Nothobranchius furzeri: one gene and its partner. The protein of the gene in region 1 binds, or shares a complex with, the protein of each later gene. Links are inferred from orthologs where the notes say so. Each region holds a gene or a part of one and is shown in the gene's direction. Other genes may lie near its edges. The genes, in order: espl1 and pttg1.

Region 1 (4,265 bases):
ACACACACACACACACACACACACACACACACACACACACACACACACACACACACACACACACACGATGCATAACATTGTCATTAAATGGAAGAAGATAGGCGTGGCCGACGTGTTGGCTGAAGAAGAACAGAACCGGAGATAAAACAAGTTCTGGTTCGGAGCAAGAGTTTATAAAGAGGTTAGCGAGATCCAGCTTTTATTTTGGTAACCAACTTCCGCTTATTGGTAAGCAAATTTGCATATTAGCAAAATGTTTAAGTACCAGCTAAATATTTATTTTCCACGATGTTATTTAGCTCCACACTATATTTTATATTTTTGGGTCAGACTTAAATATTTACTTCCCAAATACTGATTTTGCAAAGTATATGTTTTGCTCTAAAATAAATATTTAGCTGGGATCTAAATATTTTTTTCAGAAAATAAATATTTAATTTACAAATCAAATATTTAATTTACAAATTAATTATTTAGTTCCAAAATAAATATTTAATTAGGAAATTAAATATTTAATTAGTGAATTCAATATTTATTTTACAAACTAAATATTTAGCTTAGACCTAAATATTTGGTTTGCAAAATAAATATTTAACTATAAATTAAATATTTAGTTTGCTAACTAAATATTTATTTGGAAACTTTAACATTTATAAATGTATGAATAACATGGTGAAAATATGACTTTGAAAAAGTGAACTCCCAATTTTTTTTCTTATAATATGCTAAATAACCAAAAATATTGCTGTTAGATTATGACTGTTTGACTTTACAAATGGCACCCCATAAGTAACTATGCTGGGAGAAGAGATTCTGTGGTGATGTCACACTTGCTAGAGTGTAGTTGTAATACAAAATTTTACAAGCTAATAAACCTTAACCCCCAGAGACCCAAATTTAGAAAACAACTGCAAAATCTTTTTTAACCTTTCACATGTTGTTACAGGAGGCCAGATAAACGGGCCTATTTACACATTTTAACAGCCAATAGTGTTGCAGAACTGAACAATAGGACCTATTGGCAATGTAAATGTGGTTTTAAAAAGAAAAAAAATGGGGAAGGTTTATTTTTGTAGACTTAAATCTGATGTTGTAATATTACAACCGTGGGTCTCTGGGGGTTAAAGTGCATAACAGACATAGCCAAAACACACATATTTGCCTTTCATTTAAAGTAGAACATATGTGCGATCATGCAGGGCATAAGCCCGCTTTGTTCTGGGGACCAGACCGGAAGCAGACCAACGCAGGATTCTTAAAAACTCCGACACCCATAATCCTTTGCGTCTCCTTGGAACCTGAATGGCTCAGGTCTGATTGGTTACTTTTCATTCAAAAACAGCGCGCGCGTTGCATTCGGGTAATAGTGCACGGATTTATCTTTAATGTTTGGCAGTACTTGGCTTTAAAGGAGTTAGTATGAACAGCAAGTGTCTTGTTTTCATGTTGTAGGGTGAGTAACCTAACGGTTCATAAGAATTCCAGCTGATGGCTTTAGCAAGTTTAACTGTTAGCCTAAAGCAGCGCATTTGGTCGGCGTTCCGCTAAGATTAGCCTCCCATTTAACCTGCTCTACTTTTTCTACAGTGTCTGCTACATACGTCAACATGAAGTGTTTGAAAGTGGACGAATACATCAAGCGGACCGCTTCTGTTAAAGAGACGGAGCTTTTATACCAGGAATTGGAGGTTAGCTTGTTTTTAGCAACACTACTCTAGTCCTTTTTAAAAATGCGTACCAGCCCAAGGGCCAGTACTTTGTTTGGCATTCATGGAATTTAAAAACTGTTTACATCTACGTGTATTTTCTTGCATTAGGACGTGAATATGTCTGTTTTACGTTTCTCAGACGCATATCCTGAGTAAACCTGGACTCCAGGGACGCACGCTGTGTGACAGGGTTATCAGAGCCTGTAACCATCACCTTGGAGTTGGATCTTGTCCCCTGGGTCACATCAAGGCCTTAGTGAATCTGGTGGAGCTTTCTCTTCGTGGTTATGATGTTTCTGCAGAGCTCGTGGCTCAGACCAGTCCGTTTTACATGGAAAAGATCATTTTCCATATTGTGAAGAAGCTAAGTTCTCTAGAGGTTCACACTCTTTGTAGCCAAGTGGCAGGGTTGCTTTATAAAAGGCTCTCCACAGCACAGCAGGTATGTATCACCAAACAGTTCTCGCATATGTCAACATCCCTGCTGTGTGGTCTTTGTCAGAGTAACTGTGGTTTGTAATATCTGTAGGCTCAAGATGATTTCCATGTTCTTGTGCGAAGCTGCTTCTCTGTTCTGTGGACTGGACTGTCTGCTTCCAAAGACAAAAAAATACTCAATCCACAGGACAAACTTCATTGCCAGTTTCAAGCTTTGAGCTTCCTGTTGTTGGACACAGAAAAGGCAGTTCCCACCTCTAAAGCTCTGATGTACACATATGATGCCATCACCGAGTTTGAAGATGGATGTGGGACAGTGACACCAGATGATGCTTCTTTTCTCCTCCAGGAAGTGCAGACACTTTTTAACACATGTTTTTCAAGTGTGCAGAATTGTGAACAGGGTACTTTCAGGCAGCCTATGGAAGCATCAAGTTTTTATGTGTTTTCTGAGATGGCGCTGCTCGCTGTGAAGGCCCTCTGTAAGGCAAGCCACCACGGTCTAGCCTCCACCCTCTTGGATGAAACTGAGAAGATGATTTTCGACCGTGTTGGCTCAAAGTGCATGCCTCTGGTGTTGGCCACATGGGGAATAGAGATTCATTCAGCGTTGACGGCCGGTAAAGAGTGCAGCCGAGTCTTGATGGAGTGTGCCAGGGTTTTGAGGTCTCTCTCAGCTGACCTGGGTAAAGGGGAGGGTCAGGCAGCTCTTGAAGGTGGTAATCTAGTGATATGGGCTGTTGAAAGTGGACACAGTAAAGGATTAAGTGGACCAGAACTTCTGGCGCTGTTTTCATTCCTTGAGGAGTATCAAGAATGGATAATGAAAATGCAAAAAAAGGTTAGTGGGACACTTTGGACAGTGAAACGTTTTTATCTAAAAAATAATAATAAAACCTCGCATGTATATATATTTTTTCTTCCCAGAGTTTGATGTGCCAGGCTGAGAGCAGCAGGCTGCAGCAGGTCCTTTGTGTCAGTATTTACCAAGGATTCCTATTTGCTTATGAGAGCATGCTTGCATCACAGGTGAGAACACATTTACACTTTCATGATGATGGTAAGTTAAGCATGGCCCCGGTGCAGCATAATGTTGAATTTTAGACTTGGATTTTAGTAATGATGCTGATTGTTTCTGGGTCCTAGCTGGAGGACAGGGACACGCTGGACAGAGTCCTCCTCTACTGCCAGTCCACGGCTGGGCTACTGATGACAGAACTTCACAAGGCGCCCAATGAAAACCTTTTGAACAAAACCGGTGACTGAAATGAATCCTAACATAAATGTTTCTTCATCATTACTGAATGCAGGTATTTATTTATTGTACACACTGTTGTGCCTCGTAGTGACTGCTGTGAGCAACGTGGCTTGTGGTCTTTACAACCGGCGTCTGTATGAGCAGGCCTTCTCTCTGGTGGAAATCCTTTGCAGAAGTTTATGCAAGAATCATCCTGTCTCACTTACTGCTGATAGAGTAAGTCGATCCAACTGATACTTATCCTGATCGAAATGTTGTTTTCTAATTAGTTCCTGCAGCTGAAGGTGTTTTGTTTCTGTTAGGTTGGTTTAAAACTGGTGTTTCTGAGCTTTTTGATGGTTTGTAGCTAATATTATTTATATCGTGACCACCCAGCTGAGTCGACCATTCATGCTGGCCGTGCAAACCTCGCGACGAGCCGAAGCGCTGGATCGAGCCCTGAAGTGGGTGATCCTGTGGCTGAAAGCCCTTGGAGACCAGGTGATGGCTCACATGGCTGAACCGGTCTCTCTGTGGGTTAAAACAAAAAGTGATGCTGCCCGTAATGATGATGAGGACATAAGACTCAGGTACAGAGAAGAACTATTTAGTGGCTTTGTTTTTGTTTGTGTTTTGCTTAAAATCCGTCGTTTCCTGAAACAGGACATTACGGGATGGTTTTGGTCCTGACGTTCCTGAAGAGAAATTCATGCTTTGCCTTTTGGAAGAAGAGTTGCGTGCGTATAAGGAGTTGGCGAGAGACACGACCCAAGAGCGCTACAACACTTTGTGTGACCTGTTGGACATCTGCCACGCAGAGAGTTCCCACACTCATCTACGGGCTGTCTACCTCTGTGAAATGGCCCAAGTGGTCTGTTTTC
Region 2 (4,278 bases), on another chromosome or scaffold:
TCCCCACTTAAAAAACAAGCTTGGATAACAAGGAGTGTGTAAAATCCCCTTTCCTCTCCAAAACAAGTCTTGAACTCTTGTCTTTGTTTTGCAAGCAATCAAGACAACGCCTGTGTGAAAGTTAACGGGTTCCTAAATAAAACACGGTAACGGAAATGAGCACCGAGGTTGTGCTGAAACGGGGGCTTTCAGAATGAATGGCCTACCGATCGATCTGTGTGGATCCGTCATTTTTAACGATCCAGCACCTACTAAACTCAATTAAACATTTAAAATCACACAATGTGCCATTTCGCCATGCATTTGTTTCAAATAAACACCACATGAAATCTAAGGGCATTTGCAAATGCAATGCTAAAGCTGTTTCACCGGAAAGGTAAATGCACGAGGTGATGCGCCTTGATTTAACATCATCAGACGAAGAGCATTTTAGATGCATAATTTGTTATCTAAAAACACGATTTATTATAAACAGACTCTAAATTAGCAACGCAATGGTGAATTTCGAATGTGAACACGGGTGTTAGCAAGCTAACCGACTCCAAAATAACCCGTTACACAAATAAGTTGAAACGATTCCCAGCATATCGAAGATGTAATAAATGCATACAATGGATTTTAGAGTCAAACAGACTACTTACGGCTTGCCTTGCTATCTCAGTTGACGCCATGGTGAGTGTTAGTAGCCGGAGGACGAACCCACTGTCGCTCTGACTTCAGCAAAGGAAGCTGCGCCGCTACGCTGAAACCTGGCCTGCTTGAAATGTACCATTTTATCAAAGTATGTCGCATTTCTTATAAAGGTAGTAGCTGAACTTCCAATGACAATACATATGTATCTGTTAAAACCGATGACTTCTATTAACAGAAGCGGCTTCTAAATGATGGCAGAAGACATAAAATAACACATAAAGAAAGTCCCCCATCGAATGCTTTAATGGTTTCGTCTGATATGAATGGTAGTGAGCAGATGTGATGTAACTTGATAAAATAAAGAAGCACACAGACACACATAACATCCTGAAACAAATTAGTTTAGTTTATAGTAGTGGCCGACAATTTTGTAAAGCATGTGTAGCCATGAGCGTAAATAAATCAGGTGTTACGACTCACAATTAATCTTCAATGCTAACAACACTTAGTAGGCGACGCCTATTTTAGTCACGTGCGTGATATTGGCCAATAGGAAGGATGCCGTGAATTTAAAATTGGCTCGCGGTCGTTCGTTCGTACACAGTTTCTTAACCTCAACCGAGTGAGCAGCACGGTCAGGTCGAGTCTACTGAGTTAGAGGTTGTGTTTCGTAGAGGTGAGTTATCAAAGAGAGCAGTTCAAGTTAAATTTATAGTTTATTTTCTTTGAATGGGTCAAGATAATATCCATAAACCCGCGAACGATTAAGACGTTATACAGCGCTAGCATATAAGCTAACATTTGATTGTTTTGTTTTTTTAAATATCTGTTTAGCGGTCAAAAAACCGTTGTTAACGTTTGTATGTCAGTGTTCGGGAAAAGTTTAAAAAATAAACACTTGTCAAAAATTTCTGATAGGTTTGATTGGTACTCAGGTGATCTGTTTTCAGTAAATAAAGGTGACTAACTTGAAATAAAATGTATATTTTGGGATTGGATAAGTGTTCTATAAAATAATTGCTAAAGGCTTCAAACTAGATATTTAAAGTAGTTTAAAACAAATAAGCTTGTATTAAATTAATTTAGGATTTGGCTAAATCTGTTTTGCCTTTTTCCCCCACTGCTGAAAGTTTACAAAGCTCACTTTTAGCTTTGCTGTTTTGAAAAACGTTTTTGCATTTTGGTGCAGAATATAACGTTTGCATGTGTTTGTCAGATAAAAATGGCAAACATCCTTGCAGAGCAAGAAAATGCTGGTCTTCATGTGCCTTCGCTGAAGATGCGACAGCGACTTCAGTCTGCTCCAGGTATTCTGAACTGAATATTTTTCCTATGTTAGCAGGTGATGTTGGATGTGAGTTCACATTTTTTTTATTTTTCTACCAGAGAAACTTCTGAATTCAGAGGCAGCTAAATCTGTTAAAACACCTCTGCCATTTGGTCGTAAAGCTTTTGGAGCTGTGAACAAGGTTTTGACCCCAGCAGTCTCTGCACAGGAGAAGACTCTATTGAAGCCACAGGTTGGGTTCTGGACAGTCTTCAGTTCACGCATAAAAAAATATTTTGACAAAGTATTATTTGCATCTTTTTGTATGAAGTTCAAATCACAGCTAAGATGCCATACTAAACTAAAAGTTCAGGGGTCTAATTTATCAAATATTGCGTAGAATCCTTAATAAAACTGTACTTAAGCTCAGCAAAAAAAATGTACTTGTTGCTTATTCTGTGTGAGCACAAAGTGGTACAAGTGATAATGCTGCTGGAATTAATAATTTTATCATTCTCAGCAGCAGCACTGCAGGTGCTCTCCATGTCCAGAATGTGCGTAAGCAAGGTCCTTGGTCAACTTAAAGTTGTGCACATTTTTCCGCTAAGTTCTTTCATAAATCCCAAAGTTTGCGTGGAAAGTTGCTTACGCAGTTTTCCGACCCCGTTTTGTGCGTAAGCAAGCTTGATAAATGAGGCCCCAGATCTTTGCCATCCATTTCTCTTTACCTTGTTGTACCAAGTCAATGTTTTGTTTTGTTTTTGTTTCAATAGGAAAACAAAGTCGAGCCTGCTCCTCAAACCAAAATTGAGGAATATCCAGAAATTGAGAAGTTTATCCCGTATGACCCCTTGGGTAAATTGAGTTTGACTTTTATTCAGTTGCCTAAAACAATACATTTCAGTGAAGTCGATACTTATTTCCCCCTCAATTGCAAACTATTATACACACAGTGTATAATAGTTTGCAAAAGATGGCTGATGTAGAAATATCAAGCTTCTAGGTACGAGTTCCCCGCATTGTTGCCACTAAATAAAAATTCCTGCTCAAAATAATTGCTCAGATTTTTAGTTTACAAACTCAATAGATTTCCACCAGCATCTGACTTAAGCTGGTCATTATTAAAGTTGAGCATCTATACACTGCAAAAGAGGCTCCAACACACGTGATCTAATTTCCTTCCTATAGAAACTTTAGACAAGTTTAATGTTCTATATTGCTTTGTCTTGTGCTCGGAGGACTGTTTTCTGCATGTTTTAAACAAGGTTCTAATGTTTCCCAGAGTTTGAGAGGTACAGCGTCCCTGAGGACTTGATCCCTCTTAGCTGCTTGGCACTTCCTGGTTTGGCCTGTTTTCCCACAACTCTTTCTAAGCTGTGTGAGGAGGATTTGACAGAGATGGCTCCACTTCCAGACTTGTCACCCATAAAGATGCCAAAATATTCAGGTATGCACTTAATATTTACTCTTAACTGTTTGCATTTATGCTTCATAGTTACTAAGTTGATTTCTAACTCAACTTTCTAAAAGGCAGACCACTGATGATGGCTTAGCCCACCTGATAGAAACTCTTGACTTTAAATGTCTGAATATGACTCTTTAATTCCTGAACTGTTCATCTTCCCTCGTGGCATAATGATGGATAATCTGGCAATTTTGTGAAACTCTTTCAAACAATGATTGTCGAGCTAAGCATTAACAGACAACATACTCTAATGGTAACTGTCTTCCTTGAGGGCCAGTATCCAGCATGTTTTAGTTGTTTCCCTGTTCCAACACATGATTTTAATCAGCAGGAGCTTGGTGAGCTGCTGAACAAGTGAATCAACAAAAACATGAGTGGTAGTACTCTGGGACCAGGCTTGCCTACGCCTGCTCTCATTCAACACACTTCAATCACCTGTCATCAAGCTCTGCAGAAGCCTGTTAATCACCTGCTGATTAAAATCAGGCACATTGAAGCAGGGAAACTAGTAAAACGTACCGGCCCACGGGGAAGGGAGTTTGGATCACTGATATGCATCCCAGTGTTTCCCTTACATAGGCGTAGCCGTGGCGGCCCACCATGGCTAAAATCCCACTGCCACGCCTACAAGGTCCCAAGTTTTATTTCTTTATTTATTTTTTGCGCCGTTTCCCGAAGAAGCAGCAGGAACTACTGTGTTGTTGCTTGTGATCACAGCTGGCAGGCAGCAAGGAGGAGGCAGGGTGGTTACAGCTAGGGATGAGTGTACGGATAAAGCATTTTTGACTAATACGAGTGTAAAACTCGTAAATATCTGTAATCGTGCTGAAGGAAAATCCTCATTGGGTAACTGTCTTTACGCTCTGTGGTTGGCCAGACACATAGAGCGCCCGCCCCTCCCTACACACAACTC

The links.
Region 2: the proteins of espl1 (region 1) and pttg1 are in contact, whole or in part, in a cryo-EM structure (PDB 7NJ1), measured with the Homo sapiens proteins. The link is inferred for Nothobranchius furzeri from reciprocal best matches to the Homo sapiens genes ESPL1 and PTTG1. Residues at the interface, in NP_036423.4 of Homo sapiens: His402, Thr405, Val406, Tyr409, Ser461, Asn462, Tyr465, Tyr468, Arg505, Arg508, Glu512, Glu544, Thr547, Phe548, Arg551, Gln590, Lys593, Ala594, Val595, Arg596, Thr599, Gly600, Arg603, Gln634, Cys637, Tyr638, Trp683, Ile686, Glu690, Ile697; in NP_001269311.1 of Homo sapiens: Tyr111, Pro112, Glu113, Ile114, Glu115, Lys116, Phe117, Phe118, Pro119, Phe120, Asn121, Pro122, Leu123, Phe125, Glu126, Ser127, Phe128, Asp129, Leu130, Pro131, Glu132, Glu133, His134, Gln135, Ile136, Ala137, His138, Leu139, Pro140, Leu141.

What each region holds. Positions count from the first base shown.
Region 1 is NC_091743.1:50,208,219-50,212,483, reverse strand, and holds the start of espl1 (separin), read left to right. Parts: upstream 1-1,340; 5' UTR 1,341-1,453; intron 1,454-1,587; 5' UTR 1,588-1,607; coding exon 1,608-1,688; intron 1,689-1,848; coding exon 1,849-2,151; intron 2,152-2,238; coding exon 2,239-2,988; intron 2,989-3,074; coding exon 3,075-3,176; intron 3,177-3,293; coding exon 3,294-3,405; intron 3,406-3,493; coding exon 3,494-3,621; intron 3,622-3,780; coding exon 3,781-3,974; intron 3,975-4,047; coding exon 4,048-4,265. UniProt on the Homo sapiens protein: Caspase-like protease, which plays a central role in the chromosome segregation by cleaving the SCC1/RAD21 subunit of the cohesin complex at the onset of anaphase. During most of the cell cycle, it is inactivated by different mechanisms.
Region 2 is NC_091741.1:85,725,750-85,730,027, reverse strand, and holds the start of pttg1 (securin), read left to right. Parts: upstream 1-1,210; 5' UTR 1,211-1,309; intron 1,310-1,849; 5' UTR 1,850-1,855; coding exon 1,856-1,940; intron 1,941-2,019; coding exon 2,020-2,153; intron 2,154-2,673; coding exon 2,674-2,755; intron 2,756-3,182; coding exon 3,183-3,347; intron 3,348-4,278. Other genes in the region: septin6 (septin-6), read right to left, coding at 642-671. UniProt on the Homo sapiens protein: Regulatory protein, which plays a central role in chromosome stability, in the p53/TP53 pathway, and DNA repair. Probably acts by blocking the action of key proteins.